Canis lupus familiaris: one gene and its partners. The protein of the gene in region 1 binds, or shares a complex with, the protein of each later gene. Links are inferred from orthologs where the notes say so. Each region holds a gene or a part of one and is shown on either strand. Other genes may lie near its edges.

The links.
Region 2: the proteins of SLC3A2 (region 1) and SLC7A8 are in contact, whole or in part, in a cryo-EM structure (PDB 7CMI), measured with the Homo sapiens proteins. The link is inferred for Canis lupus familiaris from reciprocal best matches to the Homo sapiens genes SLC3A2 and SLC7A8. Residues at the interface, in NP_002385.3 of Homo sapiens: Thr162, Gly163, Leu164, Ser165, Lys166, Glu167, Leu170, Ala173, Gly174, Trp178, Arg182, Leu185, Phe189, Trp190, Trp193, Met196, Leu197, Gly199, Ala200, Ile203, Ile204, Ala207, Arg209, Cys210, Arg211, Leu213, Lys532, Arg534, Asp558, Gln559; in NP_036376.2 of Homo sapiens: Leu147, Leu150, Phe151, Pro152, Thr153, Cys154, Phe155, Pro157, Ser159, Gly160, Leu163, Leu164, Ala166, Ile167, Leu170, Leu171, Trp174, Gln294, Ser352, Met356, Val359, Glu481, Thr484, Leu485, Gln488, Lys489, Met490, Cys491, Val492, Val493.
Region 3: the proteins of SLC3A2 (region 1) and SLC7A11 are in contact, whole or in part, in a cryo-EM structure (PDB 7P9V), measured with the Homo sapiens proteins. The link is inferred for Canis lupus familiaris from reciprocal best matches to the Homo sapiens genes SLC3A2 and SLC7A11. Residues at the interface, in NP_002385.3 of Homo sapiens: Glu167, Leu170, Ala173, Trp178, Thr181, Arg182, Phe189, Trp190, Trp193, Met196, Leu197, Gly199, Ala200, Ile203, Ile204, Ala207, Arg209, Cys210, Glu212, Leu213, Lys299, Arg534, Gln559; in NP_055146.1 of Homo sapiens: Leu151, Phe154, Phe155, Ile156, Gln157, Cys158, Glu159, Pro161, Leu163, Ala164, Leu167, Ile168, Ala170, Val171, Thr174, Val175, Val178, Gln217, Gln219, Val360, His373, Thr487, Gln489, Ile490, Ile491, Glu493, Val494, Val495.
Region 4: the proteins of SLC3A2 (region 1) and SLC7A10 are in contact, whole or in part, in a cryo-EM structure (PDB 8WNT), measured with the Homo sapiens proteins. The link is inferred for Canis lupus familiaris from reciprocal best matches to the Homo sapiens genes SLC3A2 and SLC7A10. Residues at the interface, in NP_002385.3 of Homo sapiens: Phe161, Thr162, Gly163, Leu164, Lys166, Leu169, Leu170, Val172, Ala173, Trp178, Arg182, Leu186, Phe189, Trp190, Trp193, Met196, Leu197, Ala200, Ile203, Ile204, Ala207, Pro208, Arg209, Cys210, Arg211, Glu212, Leu213, Arg534; in NP_062823.1 of Homo sapiens: Leu147, Val150, Phe151, Asn153, Cys154, Pro157, Ala160, Val163, Leu164, Met166, Ala167, Met170, Leu171, Trp174, Ser352, Val359, Glu481, Thr484, His485, Trp486, Gln488, Glu489, Leu490, Phe492, Val493, Val494, Tyr495, Gln497.

Annotation. Positions count from the first base shown.
Region 1 is NC_049239.1:54,327,592-54,331,827, reverse strand, and holds part of SLC3A2 (4F2 cell-surface antigen heavy chain), read left to right. Parts: intron 1-3,156; coding exon 3,157-3,225; intron 3,226-3,331; coding exon 3,332-3,390; intron 3,391-3,551; coding exon 3,552-3,732; intron 3,733-3,846; coding exon 3,847-3,990; intron 3,991-4,236. UniProt on the Homo sapiens protein: Acts as a chaperone that facilitates biogenesis and trafficking of functional transporters heterodimers to the plasma membrane.
Region 2 is NC_049229.1:3,551,935-3,555,761, reverse strand, and holds the end of SLC7A8 (large neutral amino acids transporter small subunit 2), read left to right. Parts: intron 1-213; coding exon 214-391; intron 392-875; coding exon 876-1,033; 3' UTR 1,034-2,927; downstream 2,928-3,827. UniProt on the Homo sapiens protein: Associates with SLC3A2 to form a functional heterodimeric complex that translocates small and large neutral amino acids with broad specificity and a stoichiometry of 1:1.
Region 3 is NC_049240.1:5,033,062-5,037,777, forward strand, and holds part of SLC7A11 (cystine/glutamate transporter), read left to right. Parts: intron 1-2,679; coding exon 2,680-2,805; intron 2,806-4,716. UniProt on the Homo sapiens protein: Heterodimer with SLC3A2, that functions as an antiporter by mediating the exchange of extracellular anionic L-cystine and intracellular L-glutamate across the cellular plasma membrane.
Region 4 is NC_049222.1:119,764,250-119,768,186, reverse strand, and holds the end of SLC7A10 (asc-type amino acid transporter 1), read right to left. Parts: coding exon 3,855-3,937; intron 3,165-3,854; coding exon 3,041-3,164; intron 2,961-3,040; coding exon 2,857-2,960; intron 2,504-2,856; coding exon 2,407-2,503; intron 2,220-2,406; coding exon 2,070-2,219; intron 1,441-2,069; coding exon 1,263-1,440; intron 1,028-1,262; coding exon 897-1,027; 3' UTR 807-896; downstream 1-806. UniProt on the Homo sapiens protein: Associates with SLC3A2/4F2hc to form a functional heterodimeric complex that translocates small neutral L- and D-amino acids across the plasma membrane. Preferentially mediates exchange transport, but can also operate via facilitated diffusion.

The DNA of each region.
Region 1 (4,236 bases):
GATGTGGGACTTGATCCCAGGTCTCCAGAATCATGTCCAGGGCTGAAGGCGGCAAGAAACCTTCAGCTAAACCGCTGAGCCACCTGGGCTGCCCCGCTGAGGGGTTTCTTGCTCCTGGGAACCAAACTGGCTCACTCCTCCCACAGGCAGGAGGGTAGGCCAACAGGGCAATCTGTCTTTGCTTGTTCCTTTTCTGGCCATGTATTTATCTTGTTTCCTTGATTCTGATGGTAACAGTGCCAGGAAAGGAACTTCTCAGATGTTACTCTGGGTTTGATTTTCCTTCCTTTTGGGAGAGGAAGCCATTTCTCTGTGGGACTCCTGTTCTGTCTGGTTTCCCAGTTCTTGTTTGATGTGTTTTGGAGTGGAGCCCAGTCTGAAATTGTAAGCATTGTGGTCTTATGTGTGCAGGACAATGCCAAGTACTTTGTATGTGTTCTCAATTTCTCTGTGACCACACAAAGTCCCTGTCACCTCTCATCTGTAAACGAAGAAGCTAACTAAGGTTCAGAGGAGCTTGTTGTGCTTAGGACTTGAGGTCTTAAGTAATCTCATTTCGGTAATTTGCCTTCACTGAATGAAGGTATAGGTGCAAAGAGGGCAGGCTGGGAATGGGACTTTGTCATCCAAGCTCCTAATGGGATATTGGGTCCTGGGATATTGACAAGTTCAGCAGGGATAGAATAAAAATGAAGCAGATCCAGACTCTTTGCTGGCCCCCGTGATACTGAAATATAATTCTTTTTTTTTTTAAGATTTATTTATTTATTTATTTATTTATTTATTTATTTATTTATTTATTATAGACACAGACACAGAGAGAGAGAGAGAGAGAGGGAGGCAGAGACACAGGCAGAGGGAGAAGCAGGCTCCATGCCAGGAGCCCGATGTGGGACTCAATCCCGGGACTCCAGGATCCTGCCCTGGGCCAAAGGCAGGCGCCAAACCGCTGAGCCACCCAGGGATCCTCCTGAAATAGAATTCTTTACTTAAATTTCTATAGGACCCTTAGGGTCATCTAGTTCAGCTCTTTAAAAGTTATTGATAGGGGGATGCCTGGGTGGCTCAGAGGTTGGGTGCCTGCTGGAATCCGGGATCAGGTCCCGCATCGGGCTCCCTGTGGGGAGCCTGCTTCTCCCTCTGCCTGTGTCTCTGCATCTCTCTCTCTCATTCTGTCTCTTGTGAATAAATAAATAAATCTTTGTTTTTTAGATTTTTTAAAAAAATTATTTATTCATGACAGAGAGAGAGGCAGAGACACAGGCAGAGGGAGAGGGAGAGAAGCAGGCTCCATGCAGGGAGCCCCATGTGGGACTCGATTCCAGGTCTCCAGGATCACACCCTGGGCGGAAGGCGGCGCCAAACTGCTGGGCCACTGGGGCTGCCCAATAAATTAATCTTAAAAAAAAAAAAAGTTATTGATAGGAAGGGTGCCTGGCTGCGTCGATAGAGCATGTGACTCCTTTTTTTTTTTTTTTTTTTAAGATTTTATTTATTCATGAGAGACATAGAGAGAAGGCAGAGACATAGGCAGAGGGACAAGCTGGCTCCTCATAGGGAACTCGATGCGGAGACTCTATCCTTGGACCCTAGGATCATGCCCCGAGCCAAAGGCAGAGGCTCATCCGCTGAGCCACTCAGGCATCCTAGAGTCTTGATCTCAGGGTCGTGACTTTGAGCCCCACATTGGCAGTAGAGCTGACTTAAAAAATTCCTTAAATTAAAAAAATTACTTAAAAAAATAAAGTCTCGGGCTCCCTGGGTGGCTCAGAGGTTTGGTGCCTGCCTTTGGCCCAGGGCATGATCCTGGAGTCTTGGGATCGAGTCCCATATCGGGCTCCCTGCATGGAGCTTGTGTCTCCCTCTGCCTATATTTCTGCCCCCATCCCCCATGTCTCTCATGAATAAACAAATAAAATCTTAAAAAAAAAAATAAAGTCTCTTAAAAGTTATTGATGAAGGAATGTTTCAGACAGTATGGCATGAGGACTAGTAGCCTCAGATGAAAATGGAGATGAGGAGAGAGAGCACAGGGACCAGATTGAGAAAGGGGACAGGGCTGTGGAGGTGGGCCCCAATGTTCTGCCTTCATCAATGCCCTCACTTCAGGCCTGGCCCTGTGCTGCAGAGCTGACTCCTCTTTTCAGATCTTCATCAAGACTGCCCTGGGGCTGTGCTTTGAATTTCACTCTTTCCTCTTGGGCCTTGCTCTCTCACTCCTACCCTCCCCAGACCTCAGGACACTGGGAGAGAAATAATGGACATTTGTCTTGGGATCTTGGCTTGCATTCCCTGTGTCTGCTGCTCTCTGACTGTGGTTGTGGGCTTGCTTCCTTGCTCCTCTGAGAGTGCTTTGTCATTTCTGAAATGAGTATATAAGCATTCCACACATGCTAAGGGTTATTTTATTTATTTATTTATTTTTAAAGATTTTATTTATTTATTATTCATGACAGAAACAGAGAGAGAGAGGCAGAGACACAGGCAGAGGGAGAAGCAGGCTCCATGCAGGGAGCCTGATGTGGGATTCGATCCCAGGTTTCCAGGATCAGGCCCTGGGCTGAAGGCGGCGCTAAACCGCTGAGCCACCTGGGCTGCCTGGGTTTTTTTTTTTTTTTAATTAAAAAATTTTTAAAAAAGATTTTATTTATTCATGAGAGATATAGAGAGAGCGAGACAGAGACACAGGCAGAGGGAAAAGCAAGCTCCAAGCAAGGGAGCCTGATGTAGGGCTCAGTCCTGGGACCGCGGGATCACTACCCGAGCCGAAGTCAGATGCTCAACCGCTGAAACGCCCAGGCATCGCCACACATGCTTAGGATTAAATGAAGTTATTTTTATGAATGTACCTTTTCTCTTGGGCCTTTCCTATAGGAGTCCAAAGGGGAAGCCGTGTGATTTGCCCTGAGGTGGAACAGAGAAGTGAAATGCTGTACTGTTAAGAATCAGTGATAGTTCAAAAAGGGAGGGAACCGAAGGCTAAACCTTTATGATAGAGGTGGTTAAGGGAGGCTGAGGCTGGTCAAGGCAAGTGACTCTCCCAAGGTCATGGAGAAGTGCGTGGTGGTCATGGTTTGACGTGGGCTGGATTTTGTAAGCTTTTGCATCGGAGTGTTGATACCTTTTGTCTGTTTTCTTTTGCCCCCTTCCCTGTAGTTTGCTCTGAGTTTTTGGCTGCGGGCTGGTGTGGATGGGTTCCAGGTTCGGAACGTGGAGAATCTGACGGTAAGTCCCTTTTCCCTGTGAGAGGCAGAGCCTGGGTCAGAGCAGAGGGACTTTCCAGGGCTTGGTAGTGTTTGCTCCTCCTTGACTCTGCTTTTTTTCCTTCTAGGATGCATCTTTGTACTTGGCTGAATGGCAGAACGTCACCAAGAGCTTCAGTGAAGATAGGTAGGTGCCAGACCTCCCCTGCCAACTCAGCTTCCCCATGGGAACTCCTCAGCTGAGTGCTAGGCCCCAGGAATGGGGGGATCCCTAGTCCAAGAACCTTCTTCACCTTTTTTCTTTTCTTGCTCTTTACAAACTTTGTCCTATTTTCTTGCTCTGTGCAGGCTCTTGATTGCGGGGACTGAGTCCTCTGACCTTCAGCAGATCTTGAGCCTACTTGGCTCCACCAAAGACCTGTTGTTGACTAGCTCATACTTGTCGAGCCCTGATATCACTGGGAGGCATACAGAATTCCTAGTGACCCAGTATTTGAATGCCACTGACAATCGCTGGTGCAGCTGGAGTGTGAGTACATAGTGTGGAGTAGAAGGCGCAGAAGGAGGCCTTTTAGAGGAAGGGGTGTTCACGGATGGAGGCAGAGGTGGGCTTTGGGGCTCACCAGTGCATCCATTCCTGCAGTTGTCTCAGGCGGGATTCCTGACTTCCTTCGTGCCGGCTCATCTCCTCCGCCTCTACCAACTGCTCCTTTTCACCCTGCCCGGAACCCCAGTTTTCAGCTATGGAGACGAGATTGGCTTGGAGGCAGCTGCCCTGCCTGGCCAGGTACGGCTTGCTACCTCCCCAGGGTAGTGGGGGAGGCTATGTTCATCTATCTCAATGGTTGTGTGGATGACTGCAGGCAGATGTGAGCCTCAGGGGGAGCTGCATTTGATTCCTGGTCAGCCACCTAGTTCGTCACTGTGTGGCCTCGGCAAGTCATTTCACTGCCATAGCCTTGATCATCTCTTCTGGGTTATTGCATTTCTTGTGGGGAAGTTGGGATTCAATGAGAGCATATATATATTTTTA
Region 2 (3,827 bases), on another chromosome or scaffold:
TTGCCCCTCCTCTACTGTCCCAGTACCTAAGTTTACCAATATTTATTGACATAGCACTTGATTTATCAGGGCTTAGGGTGTGGGAGCCACAGAGCTGAGTGAAGCCCAGCCTTTGCCCTCAAAGGTACTTCCCTGTGGATTGAAAAGAAGGAGGATGCCCTGATTCTGGCGAGCCACAGAGTCCACATAGCTAATAGCACGTCTGCTCCACAGATCAACCTGCTGTTCCCCATCATCTACTTGCTGTTCTGGGCCTTCCTGCTGATCTTTAGCCTGTGGTCGGAGCCCGTGGTGTGTGGCACTGGCCTGGCCATCATGCTGACGGGAGTGCCTGTCTATTTCCTGGGTGTTTACTGGCAACACAAGCCCAAGTGTTTCAATAACTTCATTGGTGAGTTGTTAAAGGCGCCGGGTAGCTAGAAGATCTCCTCATCTGGGTTAGGTCTCTTGGTCTAGGAGGCTTAGGCTTAGTGCACAGAGCTCTGGAGAAGAAGATGAAGCAGGAAAGGGTGGGTGCCTTCCCAAGAGACTTCTGAGGAGAGGAGAACTGCTGGTGTTTGCACACAGACCCTAGTCTTGGAGGCATAGGCAACCTGACAGCCATTCTGCAGGAGCTGTTCTGAGTAGAGGCCAGTGGGGAGCCTCGAACTGGTGGTGCCCAGGCTTAGGGAAGGTGGGAGACTAGGGCAGTCTGCTGGCTGCCTGGAGACCCAGGAGGAGACAAGGTGACTGTCTCCTGGAATAGGAGTCTCCTGAGGACACTGGGAGCCCTACTGAGGCAGCACCTGGCATAGGGGAGCAGAGTGAGGCCTTGAGGTCTGCTTGGCCGGGTCGGTGGGATTCTCAGCACTGACCTGTTGGGTAACCTCCCATAGAGTCGCTAACCCTGGTGAGCCAGAAGATGTGTGTGGCTGTGTACCCCGAGATGGATGCGGGCTCGAGGACAGAGGAAACGAATGAGGACACAGAGGAGCAGCGGCAGCCCATCTACCAACCCACTGCCTCCAAGGACAAGGAGCAGCCCCAGCCCTGAGGACTGCCATCCCCTCTCAGCTGGCTCCTCCCTCCTACACTCCCTCTTCCCCTCCTTTCCTGCCTAGGTCCCCCCAGCACACACACACACACACACACACACACACACACACACACACACACCTCTGCTTCTGTCAAGCAGGGGCAGGACCTGGGTGTGTGTGATAAGAAACTATAAACAAAGACATTGACATTTGTACCCAAAGAACCAGCCTCTCAGCACCAGGGCCTGTATCCAACACCCTCACTAGGGCTGCTCTAAGCAGTGGGAGAAGTGTGGAGCTGCTGGGGGTACCCTACAGGGCCTTCCGCACTCCTCCACTTGCATCCTTGGGAGCCCAGTTCAATACTGCCTTCCCCCCACCCCATTCCTGAGCCCAACAGAGGCCTCTGCTCAGAGAACTGGAACAGAACAACAGTGAATCAGTTGGGGAGGGACAGACTCAAGCAAATCTGTCGTCATTAAAGGTCAGCTGGAGAGAGCTATATCACCCTCCCTTCACTAGGGACCCAAGAAATCAGAGCGATACTTCCCTCTCACCCTCTCCTCTCCCCCTCCTCATGGTAACATACCCCCACCCCAGCTTGGGCTCCCTGTCCAGAGCAAGGTTCCTGTCAGGACACCACCTCCCTACTGAGCTATGGACCAATGAGCAGGAGAACTGCCCCCTCCTCCTAGCCCCAAGCCAGGCCTGTGGAACAGATTGGGAAAGGCTCAGATTGCAGAAACCCAGCCCTGCCCCTCTCTCCTGCATCCTGACCCCCACTCGGTGCCAAAGCTTCTTGAAGCCAGAAAGTCTTCTTATTTTCAATGTAGTGGACGTTTCTCTCCTAATGGCAAAGCTGCTCAGCTCCTCCTCCCTCCCTGCTCCACCGAGGAGCGGTCACTCCATTACCCCTGCAGCTACACCCCCAACATACCCCCATGGAGCCAGCACTGCCAGCACCCCCATCATGCCCTCACCCTCCTCTCCGGCTTGGCTGTGGGACCAACCGGTGTGAGGGCTCCCTCAGCCCTTCAGGCCCGAAAGCCAAGCCAAATCAGCCTTAAATCGCCTCCCATCCAAGAACTGGACCTAAAAATACTCCCTGATTTCTAGCCCTCAGGACAGACTTGGTATGAAAAACCTTCCTGGAATGGAGGGTGCTTTCTCACCCACCTCCCAGAAGTGCCCATCCCCTAACCTCGGAGACTGGGGAGGGAGTGTCTTCTGAAGGCCAGTTCCTTCTTCCTCCCCCAACCCCAACACCCCCCTTTCTGGTCCCACCGCTGCCCCCCTGTCTTCAGACAGCCTCCCACGCAGGATGAAAGGGCAGTGGCTGAAGGTACCCATCTTGGAGACACGTTCTCTTTGGTATATGGACTTCTGGCCGTCCTGTGGGCAGAGGGTGCCTTTCCCTGCCCTCCAGAGGAAGGCCACCGTGTTTACCCTGGGCCTTGCAGCCTCCCTGCCATACCTGCTGTGCTAAGCAGGAGTCCCCCCTTCCCTACCTCCGCGTACTATCTGCTTAGACTAGAATATGTGGGGAATCCTCCTGGCTTGCTTGGCTCTCCCAGCTTCCCTCCTCACCTGCCTGACACCCCTACCCCCACAAGGTTGGTGAGATGTCAGGTTTAGTTTGAGTTCTGGTCCCTTCTGAGTGGACCCCAGGTGGGCTGGGGCTGGCCCCTGGCGGGTCAGGGGACCATCCTCTTGTTCCCTCTTCTCATTCCTCCAACCTCCATCCCTCCTTCAATTGTTGGGGTTTATTTGTCTGTTTGTTTCATAAAGTGAATGCCTTACTTTTTGGATAAATATTTTTGAAGCTGGCATTTTTATTTCTTTTGGATTTTTTAATGTAAGGTTGTTTGGGATGGGGAAGGCATTAGTTATACCTGGAGAATAATCTTCCATTGTTGAGTTGGTTCAGAGTTAGAGTTTGTTTTGTGGAGGGTTTGTTTTTTTTTTTTTTTCTTTTGATGTAATAAAATTTTAAATGGAAATGAAGGTGGTGGTGGTGACAATTCAATGGTCTTCTGAGACAGAGTCCCCAGGCATTTCCTATCTTCATCAGGAGGTCTCTGGTTGCCAGGTTCCTTCCAGGATGACATTCCCAAAAGCCCTTGCTCTGTCCCAGGGACCCGGTGCCAGCACATTCAAACATCTATCTCTCAGGTTTTGGGGGGAGGAGTTGGTTTTTGTTTTTTAACTACCTCTCATTTCTTCAGTGAAGTCACAAAGTGTTAAGTAAGTTCCTGCTCTGTGCACTGCATTGAGAGCCTGGAAACTAGCTAGGGAGAAGAACCGCGTTACTGCACAGGTGGGAAGGTGGAGGACAGCACCGAGCTGAGTGGGGGGAGGCAGAGGCAGAGTGGCTCCAGAACTGCTCGGCAAAGACTTCTGGCCCTGGGGCAGCTGGCACCAAGTAGGAAAGGAAGGGACAGGCTGAGCCTGTGGAGAGATGCCAGGGGGACTTAGGAAAGCACCCAGCCAGACCCAAGGGGTTTGACAGGAGGGATTAGGAGGTGAGGCGGAGTCCCCTCAGCTGCATGGAATCGAATGAGAGAAACGTGTCTAGTCAAGGACTAGGAAGGCTGTTGAGTGAGGACAAAGGAACAGGTACAGTAGGGACACATCTGCTGGTGATTTAGGGTTAATTGCTGGAGGAAGTTGATGGGATTAGACCCAGTCCTTGCTTGGAGTGCCTCCTTTGTGGGCAGCTCTCCCTGTTGCCTGACCTGGGGTGGCAGTACTCCAGAGACAGCACTTCTGACAGACATGGGGGGGGGGGTGTTTGTTATGACATCATCCTCC
Region 3 (4,716 bases), on another chromosome or scaffold:
GAAACCTTTAAGAGGAATCAGTTTTAACTAGAATTTTTACTTTACCTGCCTGAGAGGAAAGCAAGGTAAGATTATCAATTTATAATATTTACTGATTTTGTCTTCCGTTTTTCTAAGAAAACTTTACAAAATAGAAGAGAAAACCCCCGTATGCTCATTTTTTTCTATTTCAACAGGCATTAAGACACACTCTGTTTGAAAGTAACAAATCCTCTTTCTTCTCAATTATAGAAGTTCGCCAAATATGAATGCTTCTTTGTCTCTCCTCTCTCCTTTCTCTTCCTTCCCTCCCTCCCTTTCTCCTTTCTCCCATCCACCTTTCTTTTCTCCTTCCTCCATTTCCTTCCTTCCTCCTTTCTTCCTCCCTTCCTTCTTTCTTTCCTTCCTTCGTTTCCTTTTTCTCTTTCTCTTTGTCCTTTTATCCTCTATAAAGAGAAAAATTGGGGAGTACTTTCAGAAATAGTGTTTTAGGTTTTAGGAGCTCTATTTAAAAGAAAACAGTGCTCTTTTGTTGGTAGTAGGAACATGAGTCCAATTTTTTTCAGGCCAATGCTGGATCTCCTTAACTAAAAAAATCATGCTTTTTATATGATGACTCATTTATCACAGAATCATTTGCATAAAAAAGGAAAGAATAAGTGGATGATGAAGTGGAGAACAGAGTTGCATTAAATTATTTTCAGTATGTAAGTGCTTTATATTGGAGAAAGAAAAAGAATTTTATTTTTTATCCTTCCTCTGATAAAGTAATGCACTTTGCTATTAACAATAGCAAATGCTATTAACAATAGTCCTGCCTTTTAGCTTCAAGCACAGGTAAAATATTTCCCTAAGCCTCCCGTGGAGATTATTTGGGGTTCCAGTCTTCCCTGATCATTCTCAATCATTACTCCTTTGAAACATTTCTTCATTAGTAGCCCCCTAATTAACTTTATATGGGATCTTCTGATCCCTTATTTTCCCATCTTTGACTTTTTCAAAAATGAAAATTGTTGTATTGATTTTTCACTAAAAATACTGCATGTCTGTTATTAGAATTATTATATGCAGGAAAAGAAATAAAAATAGAATATTCAGTATTCTATCATCTATAGATACCTTCTATAGATGAAGTGTTTGTTAGTGTTTTGATAAACACTCTTTCAGATTTTTTCCCTTCATTTCTTTCTGTCTTTGTGTATTCATCTATCCATCCATCCATCCATCCATCCATCCTTCTCTCCGTAACTTGCTGTACTGGTCAGTAATATATCATGAACATCCTTTCATGCAATACATATTTAACTGTATCATGATTTTAAATGACTGCATAGTAAATCATTAAAAAGATATACCTTAATTAGCCTTCCTTTAGAAGGCTTCCTTTAAAAAATTTAAAAAAAAATTTGCTTGCACTAATTCTAAAGTTCTAAAATGAGCTAGTGATTATACAAGGCAATGGAAACTATGAAGATAAGGGATGATTGTATAATAGGAAAACTTCCTATTGCAACTAGAACGATAAAAACCGTGTTTTGTTTTGTCCCCTGAGAAGTATGTTCATACAATTGGGTAATTTGTTTAGGAGGGATATACTTCTATAAAAGTAAAGCTTATAGATAATAACTGCAAATGTCAGGTATGAGCAGCTTTGGGTAGGGATGAGGGGGTGTGTAAATACTTAATATAAACTTCTGGAAAGAGTATAAAGTTGAAATCTGTGGTTTAGAAGAACCTGCAGAAGTCATTCCAGCCAAGTATAGGAGGCAAGGTCTTAGAGTATCACCATTAATTTCATGCCTTCTTGGCTGAAGTTAGTTTTTTTAAACTGAGGATTCATTTATTCAACAAAATTGTGTTGATTAGCTTTCTGGGCCAAGCATGGAGCTGGACACGAGCATACAGGGATAGAAAATGCTTGTTCTATCCCTAGGGTTCTCATGGGCTACCACTGGGGGAAGACTGGATAGTTGAATGCTTCTTAGGAAACTGCAGACGGCGTCATTAAGAAAGGGAAATTCTGATGGCTTCAGAACCAAGGTGTGTCCTAGTCCGGGAACTCTTTTGAACTCATTACTTATAACTTTTTTCCTAAGTCCCCAAACACATCTCAGAAGTCTATATTTTTAAGGTAGGTTGAAAGTCAGTCCTTCCGGTGCTAATTGGAATGTAGAGAGGAAAACCAGAGTGCTGGCTAGGGCTAGTTCTGAGAGTGAAGAATAAGGTACTAGACAACTTTTTGACGTTTTACCATTTCTTGAGTGATTCCATACTGGCAGGTGCGTATGTGTAACATCATTATAGGAGGAAATAGTTGCCTGACTTACCAAGCTGGAGAGTCATATTCAGCAATTTGATTGCATATTATGATGACTTCAGGATTTGGTTAGAAGGTATTTATACCTGATTTTTAGGAAACTACAGTATATGCCCACTCTTACTGACATATACAAGGACCGAGAGATGAATTTTTACTGTCCAGGGTTTTATCTAAGCTTCTTCAACTTCAATGTGCATAAAAGTCACCTAGACATCTTGTATTTAAATCTGGGGCAGTGCCTGAAATTCTGCATTTCCAAAATGCCTCCAGATAATGCCAACTTTGCTGGTTAAATGGATGGCACTTTGAATAGCAGGGACCTAAGGTGTCTTCATGCCAATGAGAATTCACCTTTTGTAACTTCATCTATTTGTTTGCAGCTGTAGTGATGGTCCTCAACAGCATGAGTGTCAGCTGGAGCGCCCGGATCCAGATTTTCCTAACCTTTTGCAAGCTCACAGCAATTCTGATAATTATAGTGCCTGGAGTTATGCAGCTAATTAAAGGTATGGACTGGAAAGTAAATGCTTTTTAAAATACGTATCTGCTTTTGATCTTTCCTTGCACTAACTTTCGCTTGTCCTAGCAGAATCCCTTAATTAGTCTCGTTTCTGGAACTTAGACTCTACACTGTCATCTAATTGATTTGAAAGACTGCTGCATGGTGGTGGTGGGGGGGGCGGTGCATTGGTATTTACAGCTGAATGGCAGCAAGAGAATTAAGACTGGCCAACCAACAAAATAAAGCATCAGTGAATTCTATCCATATAAACTCTTTGGAGTGAGAACTTGAAGTGGAAAAACAAATCTGCCATTAGTTTTAACTACTGACAACTATACCTCTTACATTTACTTTAAACTAGTTCATTAATATAATAATAATAATAATAATAATAATAATAATAATAATGACTAAGGAGAAAGGATATCTGGAAAATAATGAAAGATGACCATAATTCTTTTACTCTATGGCTATAACTGCTTTTACCTTGAGAATAGAGTCTTGACAGAAGGAGAGATTATATGGGAAGAGCATTCCTAAAAACCAAATATTATCTGATAAAAAATGTTGTAAAAACTTAATTTTTATTGTTACATTATCTTTAAAGTAAAACATTCATTTCTATGGATATGTAATATTATTTGGGGGGAGTATTTGCCTAATAGATTTGACTGTTTAAGAGGAAAAGATGAAATGGTTGAAGAGGTGATGTTATTTAGAGTTTCAGTTATTCTAGGGAAGAAGGTACATGTAATTGCTTGAATCCAGTGGAACTTGTTGGAAAAGTATGAGATCCAGGTGAGTTATTTAATTAGCAATGGACTTAACAGTAGAAAATAGGAAAGTGAGATGGAATTGTGAAGGAGTGACATAATTTAGGAATGTTAAGTATTTAATGTTTACATTGATATTGTCCATTCCAGGAAAGGGAATTTATAGAGAAGTGTTATGAAGTTGTAGGAGAAGAATTACACAAAGCAAAAGGAAATGCCCAAATCCAGCAAAATCATCACTGATGGTAGAGGCCTCAAACAATAACAAACATTGAAAGATCCGTCACTCTGTAGCTAGGGAAAAGGAGCTGCTATTGTCCATTTACTAATGGAAGATCTTAGAACTCTCCTGGCTAAATGGTTGAATCAAATCCAACAAGTTCAGCCAACTCAGAGTAAACACAATAAAGATTTTAATGCTATGCCCAACACCAAAGAGAAGACATGAGCTTGCTCTTCTAATTCACATTGGCCACCACAGAGCTGGCCTGCTCATTTTATCTGATCCATTATAAATATAGAGAAAATAACCTGTTTTGTTAGTGCTTTCTTTTTCTGGCTAACTCTTCAGTCTTCTCTAAGGAGTTTCTTCCATTTTTGGAAAGTGCAGAGACCCTGAGTCATTGACCCTACTTTAGTTCTAGTTTAGGTTCCAAAAGATGATATACTGTTCCTTAAAACTACGTTTTTTTCTTTCTTTTTGATGTAAAACTGTAGTCATTTTTTTTTTTACCACCTATTTATATATGTATGTGAGATGAGGTGAAGTTTTCCAAACGTTATTTTATTGGAAATTCCTTAAGAGCAGAGATCATAATTTATCTTTTGGATCTTTTTCAACACTTAAAGTAGAATGATTCTTTAATTAATATCTATGCTATCAGTGCTTAATATGAACAGGCTTCCTTTTATAGCTCACCTAATAGAGAAATGCAGTAAGAATATTACCACATTTAAAGTGAATTTTAATATTTTACAGAGCATTTTTAGCAAGTAAATTTACTCTATTAGTACAAAGTGTTGATTTTTCTTTCTCTCTAACTTAATCACATATTTTTCACATTAATTTGAAACTCCAGGAAGAGAAAAGCTTTACTAATACAGAGTGTGCATTTATTTCCACTCTAATCAGATCCTGAAAA
Region 4 (3,937 bases), on another chromosome or scaffold:
GCCCGGAGGGGCAGGCGAGGAGGCTTCCGGCCCATCCTCATGCCTGCAGTGTCAGCATGGGCCTGGCCGGGCAGATGCCCTTCGCTCTCTGGCTGCAAGCTTAATCTGGGCATGAGGGCTGGGAATGTGGGCACAGGGTAGAGAAAGCCCATGGTCTCTTGCAGGCCCTGAGGCCCCCAACCCCTCCCGGGAGATGCTGCTAGAAGCTTCCTCAGGAGACAGTGGCCGAGCACCGACTAACAGTGGCCAGATCCATCCTGTTCTGCCTCAGGCTCTCAGTTTCCCCTGTAAAGCAGGGTGAAGCCATGGGCCCCCAAGTCTTGACGCTCATTCTACGGAGATTTATGGGGGGAAAGGCAGCTCCAGCAGAAACGCCTAGGCCCTCCCGGGTGGCTGAGCCTTGGGCTGGCATTGCGGGTCCCCGGGAGGGGCACACCAGGTGTCTCCCAATCCCGGTGTCCTTTTGGGGCAGGGCTGGCTCTGGACCCCACAAGGGAGAGAGGGAGTGCCTGGCTCACGGGGCAGAGCCCCCAGATGCCAGAGGCCTCCTGCGGCGTCTGCTGAGCCACTTTGGCAGCCAGCACCACACCAGCCCCGCCAAGTCATGCCCACCAGGGACTCACCTGAGACAAGCACACCACCCACCAGCCCCGTTTTATTCATAGACCTTTTCAGGAAAAGCGAGTGGGGCGGTGCTGACAGGGAGCCCCGTCCACATCTTCGGGGGTCCCCCTTGGCATAGGCCTTAAAAGAGTCGGATCTCTTTTTTTTTTTCCAAGACAAAACAAAAACAAAAACAAAAAACCCAAAACAAAAAAACACAACTTATTTTGCAAAAACACCTCCTCAATAAACAACATGTAAACAGAAACAGCTGCTTTAGGTTCACCAATGTCTCACTGTGTCTTCAAGGGCTTGTCCGTGGCAGGCAGCGGGGAGGACTGGCAGGGGCTGTTTTCTTCCTCCTCGGGGGCCTCCTGGGGGTAGACCACGAAACACAGCTCCTGGCCCCAGCGTGTCATGGACTCTGAGGACAGATGGACAAACAGATAGACCTTGGGTCTGACCCTGTGGGGCAGGGGTCCTCAGGGAGTTGCTCCCTTTGATTGGATTCTGGACACTGGACCACCTCCTGGGGACACTTCCGGTGGCAGCTGGACCCTGATACCACTGCAGCTGCGGGGAGGCCCTGCCCCAGGGCAAGCCCCCGAGAGGGGACGCACTCCGACGCCCACCACCTTGGGGAGGCGGCCCCGGCTCACCTGTGAGTCTGTGCACACACTTTGGTTTGCTTCTCCAGAAGACCCCCAGGAAGAAAACAGGCACCCCAGTGAGGATGATGATCACGCCGACCCCACACACCATGGGCTCCGAGATGAAGCTGAAGACCAGTAGGAATGCCCAGAAAACCAAGTACGCGACAGGGACGAGGAGGTTCACCTGGGGATCAGCCAGCCAGAGGGCCAATGGCGTGGGACCTTCCCTGGGCTCTCCTGCTCCACCACCCCGTGAGGGTGACAGGGTCCTAGGTGCCTCCCACCCTCTCCTGGGAGCTGAGGCTTGAGGGTCCCCCTCTGGCAGCAGCCCAACATGCTAGAAGCCAACTCATGGGATGGCTGATTTGTCAAACGACTTATCAAAGTTACAGTGGCTCTGAGCTCCACACGGCAACTATGTGTCACTGGCTGCTTGCATCTGACTCTCTCCCTATATCTCTTTTTTTTCTCTCTCTCTTTTTGGTGTTTCATATTTTTTCAGGCACTGAGCAGCACTTCTCCAGCTCCAGGATTTATATGCAGACACAATATTTGCATTTTGCTTAGTCTGGGCTCTGCTGTCCTTGTGTGCTCCTGGGATTCTCTGTGACCAGGAGCAAGCATCTTGGCCTCCTTTTCCTGTCTGTAAACTGGGAGTATCGAAAGCCCCCACCTCGTGGGGCTGACACGGGAGCTGAATAGGTCGGTGTACACACAGCCCGGAGCAGGGCCCGATCGCTGTCATCACCTGCCCCCGGTACCCAGGTGACCTAAGGCGGGGGGACAGCCAGCCCGTCCTCCCCCGGGCCTCACCTTGATGGGCCTGTGGAGAGCTGGCCGCCTCCAGCGCAGCACGAGCAGGCCCAGGATGGTGACGCCGTAGCAGAGGTAGTTGATGAAGGACACATAGTTGATGAGCGTGTACGTGTCTCCCACAAGCATGATGATCGCTGTGGCCCCGCACTGGGAGAGGACCGGGCTGAGGGTGGCCTCCCACCTGCCTCCGTCAGCCCCGTGGGCCGCCCTGGGCCCGCCGGCTCGGGCCAAGAGGTTGGTGAGCCCCGGCCCTCCCTGCTCCCTCTGTGGCCCGCACCACCCTCCACCCCCGAGGGCCAGGCTCCCGTCCCTGCCAGTTGGTCCCACGACTTACACAGACGAGGAGGGCAGGGATGGGGGTGCAGCGTCTGACGTGGATCATGGCCAGCAGGCCGGGCAGGTGCCCCTCTCGGGCCCCAGAGAAGCACAGTCTGGGACAGAGATGGGGGCGGGAGCGTGAGCCCGGCCTTGGGTGTCCCGCCAACCAGCTCCCGGACCTCAGCTCCAGACCCGATGTCCCCCTGGAGCTGTCACCTCCGGCCCCTGCCTTCTCCGGGCCCCAGGAGCCCCACCGGGCACTTCTTCCCCACCTAGTCCCGCCTCCTTTTTGCTTTCTGTACCTCAGAGCGGGGGTCGGACTCCTGTCACTGGGGAGCTCATTGTCCCAGCTTCAGCTGGGACCCACCGGGCGGGATCTGACTTCCTCCGGCCCCTGGCGCTGATCATGAGCACCAGGGCTACCTGCCTTGCCTCACCTTGACCACCCCTTTCCCCATCCGGTCACCTGGAGGAGGTGAACAGGTAGCCATTGATCCCTCCAAAAGTGGAAAGTGCCACGGAGACGGGCATGACCCAAGAAAAGTAGCCCAGCAGCTTCTCCCCGAAGGTCTGAGTGGGCACAGAAGAGAGGTGGTGCATGAGGCAGGGCGGGGTGGGCGGGAGGCAGGCACAGGTGGGACCCCACTCACCACAGCCACTGCGTTAGAGGACAGCAGCTCCTGGGGCGACATGGCCGTGAAGTAGGCGATGTTGGTGAAGGTGTACACAAAGGTCACCAGTGGGATGGAGATGACAATGGCACGAGGTAGGTTCCTGGGGGCAGCAGTGGGTAGGTTCCTGGTCAGTGGCAGCCCCCGGGGTTGCGGGGAGACTGGGAGGCAGCGCCCGGAGGACCCAGCACAGGAACGCTTTGAATCTCCATCTCCTGGGTCTGCTGTGGGCCCTGGGACAGGTAAGGGGCACCACCGCCATCTCCCTGCGGCCCCCCTGGGCCCCAGTCTGGGCACAGACTGGTGGAGGAAGGGCAGGTGGGTGGGGAAAGGGCCGCATCAAACTCTGGGGGGGCAGGTCTAGTGCTGGCACAGGAAGAGAAAAGCACATCCAGGCCCAATCGGCCATGAAGATCCTTGAAAAGTGTCCCTAGGGCCCAGTCCCTAGACCCGGGGTCCCCTGGGGCTGCCCTATCTGCGCCAGCCCCAGCTGCGACTGGTCACTGTTGGGACCCCCCACTGAGCATCAGATGGAGCCATGGGCTTTGTCCCTGGGGGCCGTGTTGTGTACACATTTTGGTCAAATGCAAACCGTCGGGTCCATTGACAGTGGGACAATGACACTCCGTGTTTCTGAGGCCCGGCAAGGGGCCACAACACGGCTTTGTGGGGCGGGGCCAGGCTGCAGCACGAGGGTCCCGGCAGCAGGCTGAGCCCCGGGAGGCAGCAGGTCTGTGCAGGGAGGTGCCTCTCCCCCCCACCTTCCCAGGGCCCGGCTGGCCATCCCACCCACTTTCGAGGGTCAACCAGCTCCTCCGTGACGTAGTTGAGGAAGTTCCAGCCGCTGAAGGCAAAGGAGCCCTGGAGGAAGGCCAA